Macaca fascicularis: one gene and its partners. The protein of the gene in region 3 interacts with the protein of the main gene of each other region in a pairwise test. Links are inferred from orthologs where the notes say so. Each region holds a gene or a part of one and is shown on either strand. Other genes may lie near its edges. The genes, in order: ENOX1, TNFAIP1 and ZMYND19.

What was found.
Region 1: the proteins of ZMYND19 (region 3) and ENOX1 interact in binary tests that used the Homo sapiens proteins (3 or more experiments, as listed by UniProt). The two-hybrid records come from large-scale screens. The link is inferred for Macaca fascicularis from reciprocal best matches to the Homo sapiens genes ZMYND19 and ENOX1.
Region 2: the proteins of ZMYND19 (region 3) and TNFAIP1 interact in binary tests that used the Homo sapiens proteins (3 or more experiments, as listed by UniProt). The two-hybrid records come from large-scale screens. The link is inferred for Macaca fascicularis from reciprocal best matches to the Homo sapiens genes ZMYND19 and TNFAIP1.

What each region holds. Positions count from the first base shown.
Region 1 is NC_088391.1:22,692,469-22,696,116, forward strand, and holds part of ENOX1 (ecto-NOX disulfide-thiol exchanger 1), read right to left. Parts: intron 3,236-3,648; coding exon 3,098-3,235; intron 1-3,097. UniProt on the Homo sapiens protein: Probably acts as a terminal oxidase of plasma electron transport from cytosolic NAD(P)H via hydroquinones to acceptors at the cell surface.
Region 2 is NC_088390.1:33,796,909-33,800,656, reverse strand, and holds the start of TNFAIP1 (BTB/POZ domain-containing adapter for CUL3-mediated RhoA degradation protein 2), read right to left. Parts: upstream 2,620-3,748; 5' UTR 2,524-2,619; intron 1-2,523. UniProt on the Homo sapiens protein: Substrate-specific adapter of a BCR (BTB-CUL3-RBX1) E3 ubiquitin-protein ligase complex involved in regulation of cytoskeleton structure.
Region 3 is NC_088389.1:1,725,217-1,728,872, reverse strand, and holds the start of ZMYND19 (zinc finger MYND domain-containing protein 19), read right to left. Parts: upstream 2,933-3,656; 5' UTR 2,687-2,932; coding exon 2,636-2,686; intron 1,132-2,635; coding exon 1,072-1,131; intron 1-1,071. UniProt on the Homo sapiens protein: May be involved as a regulatory molecule in GPR24/MCH-R1 signaling.

The DNA of each region.
Region 1 (3,648 bases), on a different chromosome or scaffold from region 3:
ACATTTTCAGGAAATATGAAGTCCAAGGATTAAAATGTTTAACAAATGCCCAAATATAAACAACAACAACAAAATTACCAAGTATCCATTTATCAGAGAATAATTATTTGCAAAAGAGAAAATATGAATAGAAAATGAAGGAGAATAAGGAAATAAACAAGGGTAGTTATAGAATAATTTAAGATAAAATAATAGGATGCCATTTTTGCATATCAAATTAGTAAATATTAAGTCCATATGTATATTTTGGGAATTAATCGACCAGTACTCAGCAAGAAACTTGAAAATGCTCATTTCTTTTGACCTACTAGTTCCACATGTAGGAGCCTATCCAATGGAAATAATTCTAACAGCTAAAAAGCCCCATCCATAAAAATGTCTACTGCAATGTTTTAAAGGAAAATGTTACTTGCTTTAAAAAAGCAAAAAGGAGAAAGGAAGAAATAAGAACAAAGGAGTAAGAAGACTATTTAATGTATGCTTACCAGATGGAGGTTATATAAATTATCCCATTTAAATCTCAGCAGTTCCATGAAATAGATATGATCACCATTTTATAGAAAAGGTAAGATGTTTTTGCATGCTCAGGGAGACTAAGTTCTTTAAGGAAACTTGGCTAGTTAACAGTGAAAAAATGAAAACAGCCTAAATGTAAATAGTAGAATGGTTAAGTAATCTGGAGAGTTGATGAATTATTTAAAAAATTTTAATATAAAAGAATACAATGGAAAAATAGTTTAGGATGGCCGGGTGCGGTGGCTCAAGCCTGTAATCCCAGCACTTTGGGAGGCCGAGACGGGCGGATCACGAGGTCAGGAGATCGAGACCATCCTGGCAAACACGGTGAAACCCCGTCTCTACTAAAAAATACAAAAAATTAGCCGGGCGAGGTGGTGGGCACCTGTAGTCCCAGCTACTCGGGAGGCTGAGGCAGGAGAATGGCGTGAACCCGGGAGGCGGAGCTTGCAGTGAGCTGAGATCCGGCCACTGCGCTCCAGCCTGGGCGACAGAGCCAGACTCCGTCTCAAAAAAAAAAAAAAATAAATAAATAAAAAAATAATTGTTTAGGTAAGATGTTAAAACAGTTGGCTGGTGGCCCTGAGAACAAAGCAAAGTGCAGTTAAATTATCAGGCTGTGTAAATGATGAAGGAAAGCCCAGAAAGACCCTGAAAGGCTCAAAAACAGTTTAAGCAATTTGGCTAACACAGGAGATAGAAAAAGTAATTCAGGCAGATACGGTAAATCTTCTATAACGAGTAGGGCTGTAATTCTTTTCATGGCAAGTTGCTGGGAAAATCGTAAATTGGTCACAGTGAAAATGTCAGAAGACTCAAAATCACAAGAAAAAAATAATGAATTAGGAAGGTTTTGGCTTACTCTAGAAGTCGTACAACATTTTCTGAGAGAAGTAGGAGGTGAGACAAGAGTAACTTACTTCTGCTTTCTGAATATTTCAATTAGGCAACTGGGGAAACTTGGGTGGAAAAATAGAAATCTTTACTCTCAAGTTATTAGAAGAAAGTATCTGTCTAGGTAAGCTTTAGGGGAAAGTGGCCTGGGATAAACACACGTTCAAGCCATAGAAAATGTCATTTATGTATACCCACCTCCCTAGAGCAGACTAATCTTCAGTTGTATGAATTTGATAGCATTTTGAAGACTTTAATAAATATCCTAAATGTAATGTTTTAAAACTCAGCCTTTGTATTTCCTTTGTCTCCTACTTTCCCTAGTCTCTTATCCATTTTCATGTTCTTTCTTGTTATATTAAAAAAGAAACCATATATATATGTGTGTGTATGTATGTGTACACATATACACATACACACATGTACACATACACACACACACATATATATTACTATAATTAATTTTCAATTTTTCATTTATGGCCACTATTGAACAAAAAACAAATGCTTGGTCAACTCAGCATAAAGTGCACAGGTATGTGGGAGTAAAATTTAGCAACATTCCAAAAGCGATTGGTTTCTACTTAATGAACACCATCTACCCTCACCTACCTTGATGGCCAAAAGTGAAGTTTTCTTCTGCCATTATAACAATGACTACTGCATAATGCCTGGTTGTCACCTCTCCACTATAAATTCTGAGAGGGCAGACCATACCTGTCTTGTTTACTGTGGGAGCCCTTGCACCAGGACAGTGGCTCAATGAATATTTGTTGAATGAATGAATGAGTGAGTGCATATATAAATCCTACTCATGTCTCCAGACTTAGCGCAAGCCCCAGCTTCCTGATAACATCTTTCCTTAAAGCCCCAGTGACTGATCTGATTACTACATTACCAGTCTGCACCACTACTTAACACACCTGACTCTACACATCATTTTTATCATTGTTTTTCAGGTGTTGGTGTTTTGTTTTGTTTTTTCAATTTAAAGAGAAAGGATCTTCAAAGACACTTATATACATATATATTTATTCTGTTTCTCAAAGCACTTTTTACAGGGCACATGTAAAATCCTCAGCAAACACCTGTTAAATTCAATGATTAAATCTTTTAGATGACTTTTGACTTTGTGATATTTCTAAACATTTTCTCTACTGAATGCTTGCATTGTATTATGATTCCACCATGTGGTGGACAGAAAACAGGGAATTTAGTGTCACCTGAGCTGTTTATAGCTCTGCCACTTCAATGTGGAAAAGATACCTAAACTCTGCTCTTCTGTTTCTCTATTTGTAAAATGGAAACATTAACAAGAGCAATAACAAGAAATATCTACCTATCATAAAGGGAAGACAGTGCAATCAAATGGGATAATATAGGTGAATGAGTTTTGCAAATTGGAAAACAAATATTAGCCATTCTATTTACCAATTTTAAGAAATGCAATTGATGTTGCAAGACTGTGTATAGCAATAATAGTTAGCATGTTTTTTTCTGAGAACAGCTATTAGGTACAAGAGAAAGGTGATGAGGAAAAGAATCTCAAGTACAACTTGCCAAACATGCCCCAGTCATAAATAAAAGACCATGTCCAACACTCGCAGTGCAGAGAGATTACCAGGCACTTGTCACCTACACCTTTCGGGACTGCTGCAAGCATCTCTGAAACCAGGAGAAAGCTTACCAGACACGAGCTGCTGTCCAGGCAACCCCACGGGAACCATGCCCAGGTTATTCATGGCTGTAGCCCAGGCTGTGGGATCTGTCACGGACATGTTGAGCTGGGTCGTGTCTATTGCTATACTCCCCAAACCATCAGCTGCTGTGGGGAAAAACAAACCATGATTTAGAGTTCATAGGCAAGGGTGTTTGTTTTAAAGAAAATCACATTTCTGGAGATGTGAGGCTTCATTTAGCACATTCCCAAACTACACAAAAATAAAAAACTATAATCTACAGCAATGTTTTCTCCAGACATAAACATAAAGTGTTTCCAAATACTTTCTGGGAGAAAACTTAATGACATGTAGTTTATATTATACACAGCATGCTATTAAGGAGATACCCCTGGAAAAAAATTGAAGAATTGTTTGTTTCTCCCAGTGAAACAACATTAGTTAAGTCACAAGGCTGAGAGGCAAAGCAGTAATACTCTCTTGGTAAAACAAGTTAATTGGCTTACTGTTTCTAGGTGTAATTCTTGAGCAGGCAGGCCTTCTATCTAATAAGAAAATC
Region 2 (3,748 bases), on a different chromosome or scaffold from region 3:
CAAAGGAGCATCATAACAGGAATTTTTAAAAAGAGAGAGAGCTAGCATTTATTGTACCCCTATGTGCCAGGCACTGGGTACTCAGAAGAGAACAAATATAGAAAGTCATGTCCACATGGAGCTTACATTCTAGTGGAAGGAAATAGTCTATAAACAAGGACTTGAATAAATAAACAGATAATTCCAGAACCTGATAAATGCAATAAAGATAATAAAACAGTGACATGAGAGTGATTAGGGAGAGGCACTAATTTAGACAGAGGGACAGGGTAAGCATCTTTGGGAAGGTGACATTTCAGCTGAGGTTTGAAGAGAGCATTCTACACAGATGGAAGAGTAAGTGCAAAGTTCCTGTTAGAAACCAGTTTTAGGGGCCGAGTGTGGTGGCTCACACCCGTAATCCCAGCACTTTAGGAGGCTGAAGTGGGTGGATTGCTTGAGCTCAGGAGTTCAAGACCAGTCTGGGCAACAGTGAGAGTTTGTCTCTACAAATGAAAAAAAATTAGCCAGATATGGTGGCTCATGCCTGTGGTCCCAGCTGCTTGGGAGGCTGAGGTGGGACGATTGCTTGAGCCTGGGCAGGTCAGCCTGGGTGACAGGGAAATCTCGTCTCAACAACAACAAAATAAAAACAAGTTTTAGGATCAGAAATAAGGTCATAATGGCTGGTGCACAGACAGTAGGGGGAAGTTGGTTTGATGTCAAGTCAGGGAAGGCAGGTGTTAGATGATAACAAAGTGTGGATTTCATACTAATTGCTATTACATATATATATATATATATATATTTTTTTTTTTTTTTTTTTTTTTTTTTGAAACAGAGTTTCACTCTTGTTGCCCAGGCTGGAGTGCAGTGCCACGATCTCGGCTCACTGCAACCTCCGCCTCCCAGGTTCAAGCTATTCTCCTGCCTCAGCCTCCCTGAGTAGCTGGGATTACACGCATGCACCACCATGCCCAGCTAATTTTGTATTTTTAGTAGACATGGGGTTTCTCCATGTTAGTCAGACTGGTCTTGAACTCCCGACCTCGGATGATCCGCCCGCCTTGGCCTCCCAAAGTGCTGGGATTATAGGCATGAGCTACCGCGCCCGGCCTATTGCTATATAATATATGAATCAATTGGAGAGTTGCAAGCAGAGGAGTGATATGATCTGACTTGCTTGTAGTGTATTTTGAAAAGATAACGGCTGCTGGGTAGAGAATGAATTGTAAAGGTGCAAGAGAGGAAGTGGGAAGACCAGAGGAAACTGTAGTCTAGGCAAGAAGAGATGACGGCGGGCCTGGACCACGTTAGTAATAACGGAGACAGAAAAAAAGTGGAATGATTTCACCGAATGCTCATTACATGCAGGAGTTTACAGTTGCTCCTCTCTTGTAAGTGCAACCCAGAAGCAGGGCACTGGTTTCCTAAGTTTACTGCTGTGTTCCCCTAATGGTGCTTAGCACAATGCCATGCACATTTTAAGTATTTAACATATGTCAGTTTGTTGGATTGAAATTGTCCCTGAAAAGATTTAGGTAAGTCCCTGGGAAGAATGTCCAAGGAAGTGGACGGCCAGCGTGGGTGCTGTGTGAAGCAGTGAATTCCTTTGGCGGCTTGTCTGGGAGACTCTTTCCTTTGCCACAGAGGTTGGGTATGGGAGGTGAACCCTCACCAGGAGGCTGCCAATGACTAAGAAACACTAGAATGGTATGAGATCACCTTCCCTTCTTCCGCCCACCTCAAAGGAATAAATCCACCTCCCTAACAGGCATTAGCAAGTTCCCTATGTATTTTGTGTCTAGCCCTAGTTTTCCCAGGATCAAAGAAAGCATACATACATGTTCTGTCAATGCAAAGGAGCTCAAAGGATAGGCCTGCCAAGAGAGGTCGGCGGATCCAGAGTTAATCTATTCCTTTCCTACAAAGCAATTGCTTTGAGCCCCTGGATGACGTCAATCAGATTCCGCCCAGACCAATGGGTTCCAGGAATCCTGTGGCAGGTGACGCCCCAGAAAGTAATTCCAGTGAGAATGAAGTTTCCACTGATAGCCACAGTGCTCTTCCTTCCGCACTTTGTGTGTGGATATTTGGGGATGCCTGGGGCTAGGGGCGGATCCATGGCTCACGCAACGAAGCTAATGGGAACCCAAGCAGAACAAAGGGCAAACAGCCGCGGCTGTAGAAAGAGGAGAGGTCTAAAAGGAAGAAGGACCCAGAAATCCGTCAGACACGGAGGACGGCGCGGGGAAAGCTGAGGGCTAGAGTGGGCGGATCTAGCAGAAACCCTAGGTGTAAAGGTTAAGCGTCACCCAAAAAATCCTGGGAAATGTGGCCGGTGTGGGCTCTTCTCTAGCCCGGGCCACTCCTCACTACCGAGAAACCCACACCGATTCTCACGCCCACCCTCCGTGGGAGATCAGAGCTCTCCTTTTCCCCAACGCCGCCCGCGCCTTTTCCCCAGGACCCGGCCGGGCTCGCTATACTCCAGCAGGGGCCGTCCATCCCTTCCCCGAGGGCATCTGCGGGCCCGGCTCTCACCGTCCCCGGGGGCGCCTCTCCTCTCAGCTGGGTGGCCAGCGGACTCCGAGCCGCCCCTAGCCTGCAGCCGCCTGCCCACCAGCAGTCCCGGGCTGTGAGCTCACATCCTGCGCTCGCCGACTCCGCCCGGAGTGCGGCCCAGCCCCACCGGTCGGGGAGCCTGAGACTACAAGTCCCTGCATGCATAGCGCTCTATCCGGGAAAGGGTGGAGGCGGAATCCCCCGAGGGTCTTCGCGGAGAGAGGAAAGCCACTTCCGGTCGCCTTGCCGGCGCTAAGGCTTCTGGGTCTTGTAGGCCCGACCTCCCCTCGGGCCTCTGTTTCCCAGCAACCTCTGTGGATTCGGGGCTGTAAGTGCTTCCGGGGTCAGGAAGGTAGTGACGTCATGGGTAAACAGGTTCTGTAGCCGTGGCAGCGGCCGTGGCAGGCTGACTGGGTACCGGCTGCCGCTGACCCGGGAGAAGCTGCCTGTCTACATCAGCCTAGGCTGCAGCGCGCTGCCGCCGCTGGGCCGGCAGGTAGGCTGACCTCGGGTCGGGGGATGCGGGCGGACCAGGGGCGAGAGGAGCCTGACAGGCCCGCGTCCTGAGGAAAGAGCCCGGGCGGAGAGAGACGTGGGAATTCCGCCCCACTCTCAGGGGGCGCTTTCACACCCAGGTTAGGCCTGGAGTTTGACGCGTTGATGCTTGCCACGATCTTACGAGGAAACGGGGCTCGGATAAATTCGGGGAATTTACATAGTAAAGAGTCTGCTCGCAGTGCCTCGCATGCATCTGGGAGAGCCTGGCCACACAAATTATGCCACCGCGTCATGCTCAGGGAGCTTAGTCCCAGCTCTTGGGCCAGGTGTTGCTCAGATGCTCAGACACGCGTGTGATGGGAGTTGGTAGAGAATCTGTGAACTCTTTCCCTGCACCCCTTCTTCCATCTTACCTATCTCTTTAAGCCAGCCCCTCCAATCAGATAGGTGGGCCAAGCCAGATTCATGGGAGTCATGCCTGACTTGTTTTTCTCTTATCCCAAAACCGCCACATTCAGTCAGTCCATTACTAAGCCCCAATCACCTCGACTTACAAAACATCTCAACTCGGAGCACTTGTCTTCAGCTGCCAGCCTTGGTTACTGTAATGGTCTCCTGTTTCCACGGTCATTCATTCCGCATTTACTGAGTGCCAGTTATGTGTGGGCACCATGCTAGGTGCTAGGGTTAGAGTGGTGAACAAGAA
Region 3 (3,656 bases):
ACCAAGTGAAATGGCCGGGCGCGGTGGCTCAAGCCTGTAATCCCAGCACTTTGGGAGGCCGAGACGGGCGGATCATGAGGTCAGGAGATCGAGACCATCCTGGCTAACACGGTGAAACCCCGTCTCTACTAAAAAATACAAAAAAGTAGCCGGGCGCGGTGGCGGGCGCCTGTAGTCCCAACTACTCGGGAGGCTGAGGCAGGGGAATGGTGTGAACCCGGGAGGCGGAGCTTGCAGTGAGCTGAGATCCGGCCACTGCACTCCAGCCTGGGCGGCAGAGCGAGACTCCGTCTCAAAAAAAAAAAAAAAAAAAGAAAAAGAAAAACCAAGTGAAACAAGCAAGCCAGAGGAGGGACAAATGCCAGCCCTGTCCCTGAGACCCTGGGGAGTGCAGAGCCTCCCATAGGCACATGGCTCCCAGGGGCCAGCGTGGCCCCACCACCACTCTGTCTATCCAGGCAAGAAACACTCACAAACAACTCTGCAAAATACAATGGACATAGACAAATACATTTTCCTACCCTTGAAAAAAGCCCACAGTGCAGTGAGATAGAGAAACCCCTGGACAAGTCACTACTGTGAATGTGTGGGGCACAGAGATAAAGTGTGGTGAGGGAGGCCAAGCTCAGTGGCAGGAACGGAAGCTGGGAAGAGGCAGGAAGACCCCATGAGAGCAGAGAACGGGAGGCAGCTGGGCAGCCAGGAGGGGCTAGCGCAGGCTCAGCAGGTGGCAAGCTCTAAGGAACAAGGTCTTCGAGCTAACAGACATGGTCCACGTGACACAATCGCAAACGTGAGAACATTCCATTTGCTTTCAAGAAGAGCTAACAGCTGAGGTGAAAGTGAGGAAAGACCAGTGTCGCCAAGCCGCGTGGGCCACAGTGGGAGCAACAGCCAGGTTCTGCGGGGCCACGGCTCCATGTGGGGCTGAGGGCTCAGGGCTCACAGCCAGCCCCAGATGTCCACTTGTGGGGCCACCTGCTCTTGCAGCACAGGGGAGGGCTCGCTCCTCGTGACCCTCCTGGGCACTGACCACAAGCATTAAGGGAAGGAACAGGCATCCTTACTTACCTCAAAGGAGTAGCTTTCCACCAGCGGGATGTCCTGCTCATCGATCAGCGTGTATTTGGTCTGAAAGTTAACCACATGTTTCAAATCATTACATTTGAGATCTGCGTGAGGTGCAGTAACCTTATAACCAGAACAGGCAGGAGCCTGTTGCATTTTCCTGTGAAGTGGAAAGTAACCACAGGCCTCTTCAGACCAAGACAGCTCAGCACACGGGGGCCTCATTCCACCATCTGGGGTGGTGCAGTCTACGCCAAAACACAGGCAGACTGGTTAAAAGACAGCAGACCACTTTCATCTGCTCCAGAGGAGCTGGTATCAGGCCTCATCCTCGCAGGCCTAACCCCAACAGTGGCACGGAACATTTAACACACCAATAAACCTAGGCAGAAACGGTTTCACTGAGCTGAGGGAGGGTCCAGGGCTGAGGCAGAAGAGCCAGAAGGTTATGATTAGGGTGTGTTTATTAAGCTGAGCTGCTCATTGAATTGCCCTTTTCAGTTTTTTGTCCATCTGAAATGTTCCAAAGAAAAGCTGTAAGGGATGACAATGTCATCGGTGGTGGAATCAGAAGGGGTCTCAGGTCTCTGACCTGACTGGGGAGCCCACCCTTCCCTGGTGGAAAAAAGCCTCCTCCCCAGCAGGCCCTGCCTATGCTCTTGCAGCAGGGGCAGGAAACAGGAACAGGTCCCAGAACGGGCCAGTATCCCTCTTGGCAGTTTTTCTTCTGGGATCTGAACCTGTTTTACCTGACGCCGCCTGACACTGCCTCCGCTCCTCTCTCCCACCAGAAGCTGCAGCCGCTGGTGACGGCAACAGGGCTCCCATCCGGGTAAGGACCCCGGCTGGTGCAGCTGCACAGGTGGCTCCGAGAAACCGCCAAGCCTCAGTGCCCACAGGTGCCATGGAATCCCCAGCCTCAAACGTGCAGCGTGGGGGCCAGGTGAGAAGAGAAATCGAGGAAGGCCCTGAGTCTGCATCAGGGCCCAGGCTTCTTCCTCTCTGCTGTGAGCCCGAGGCTCTGCCTAACCTGGCCAACCCCTGGCAGCGTTAAAACGAGCCCGAAGCCCTGCTGAGAACTGGGAGGCAGAGAAGAGCCCACACCAGACCCGCCTCGGCGAGAGGTGTGGAGGTGGCGCTGCCTCGGAAAGGGCGCTGTGTTTAAACCGTGTGGCCGCACCGGCAGCCCGGACGCCGCGCTAGGCCCCGGCTCCCCGACACCACGGGGAGGGCTCCGGGAGAACGCGGCCGGGCTCGAGCCACGCATCTCCGCGCCCGGCTCGGGACAGGGCCGTGGCCTCCGCCTCCGGCAGGGCAGGGCCGAGGGCGGCCAGGTGCGCCCCGCCGCCGAGGGGTGCGCGCCCGCCGGCCTGCGAGAGGAAGCTGCACCCGCGCGGGGCCAGCAGCCGGGCCCGCGCAGCGTCCCCCGCCCCGCTGGGGCCCATCCCGGGCTCCGCGCCCCCGCCCCGGCCGCCGCCCGCACAACCGCCCCCGGCCCCGGCCCCCGGCCCCGCGCGGAGGCCAGGACGGGCGAGACGGGCCGGGCCGCGGGCTCCGCGCCGCTCACCTTCCCGGCCACCCGGCCGAGCCGCACGATACCCAATTTGAAGTCGGTCATGGCCGGGCCTGCGCTCTCGGCCGGCAGCGCCGCTCCCTCGGGAGGCGCCGGGCGGGGGCCGGGGCGAGGCCGCGGCGCGCCGGGGCAGGACGGGACCGGAGCCGGGGTCGGGGTAGCAGCCAGGCGGGCCCCGGGCGGGACGAGGCTGGGCCGGGCTCGGGCCTCCGCCGCCGCCTCGCGCCCGCCGGACCTGCCACGCGCCGCCGCCGCTGCCGCCGCCACCGCGCGCACCACAGCGAGCGGAGCGGAGGGGCGGGGCGCAGCCCGGGACACACCCCCCGGCCCGCCGCCGCTCGGCCAATCGCTAGGCGCGCACGGCGCCGGCCGGAGCGCGCCGCGCCGCAGCAACCAATGGGAGGAGGGCGAGTGCGCCGGCGCTCTGGGGAGCGGGGCGAGCGCGGGGGAGGGGCGAGGTCGGGGGCGGTGCCTGCGCGCGCCGACGTCAGTTTCGCGGGAAGCTTTGTGCGGGCCGCCGCGCTGCTCCTGGAGGGGCCGTGCGGAGCGCGGCTGGGGACTCGCGCCGGGTCTGTGGCGCTCTGCGAGCTGGACGCCCTTCTCCTCCCTTGCAGTGGCCCTCGTAAGCTGCTTCCCGCCGCCGTCCTGGCCCCAAGCGCGGAAGGAGGCGGACGGAGCGCGTGTGGGGCCCGCTGGGTGGGCGGGGAGCGGGCGAGGCGGGCTAGGAAGAGGCCGTTGCCGCGGGACGCGGGTGCTCCTGGAGAGACCGCGGACGCCCGGCCCACGCGACCCGGAGGGTGCGGCCTCCCCCGCAGCCTTTTCCGAGCCGCCGGTTCCTCAGCCCCGGGGGCGGCTGACCGCCGGAGCAGCCTGGTCCAGGGCGTCTGGAAACGGAACTCCAGTGAGGCCGGTTGGGCTCCGCGGGAATGCCGAGGCCCGCTCAGGGAGGGACTGGGTACGCCGTGGTGGGCAGCGTGGCCTCCCCTGCAGCCTGGAGCGAACGGGGCTAGGTCCT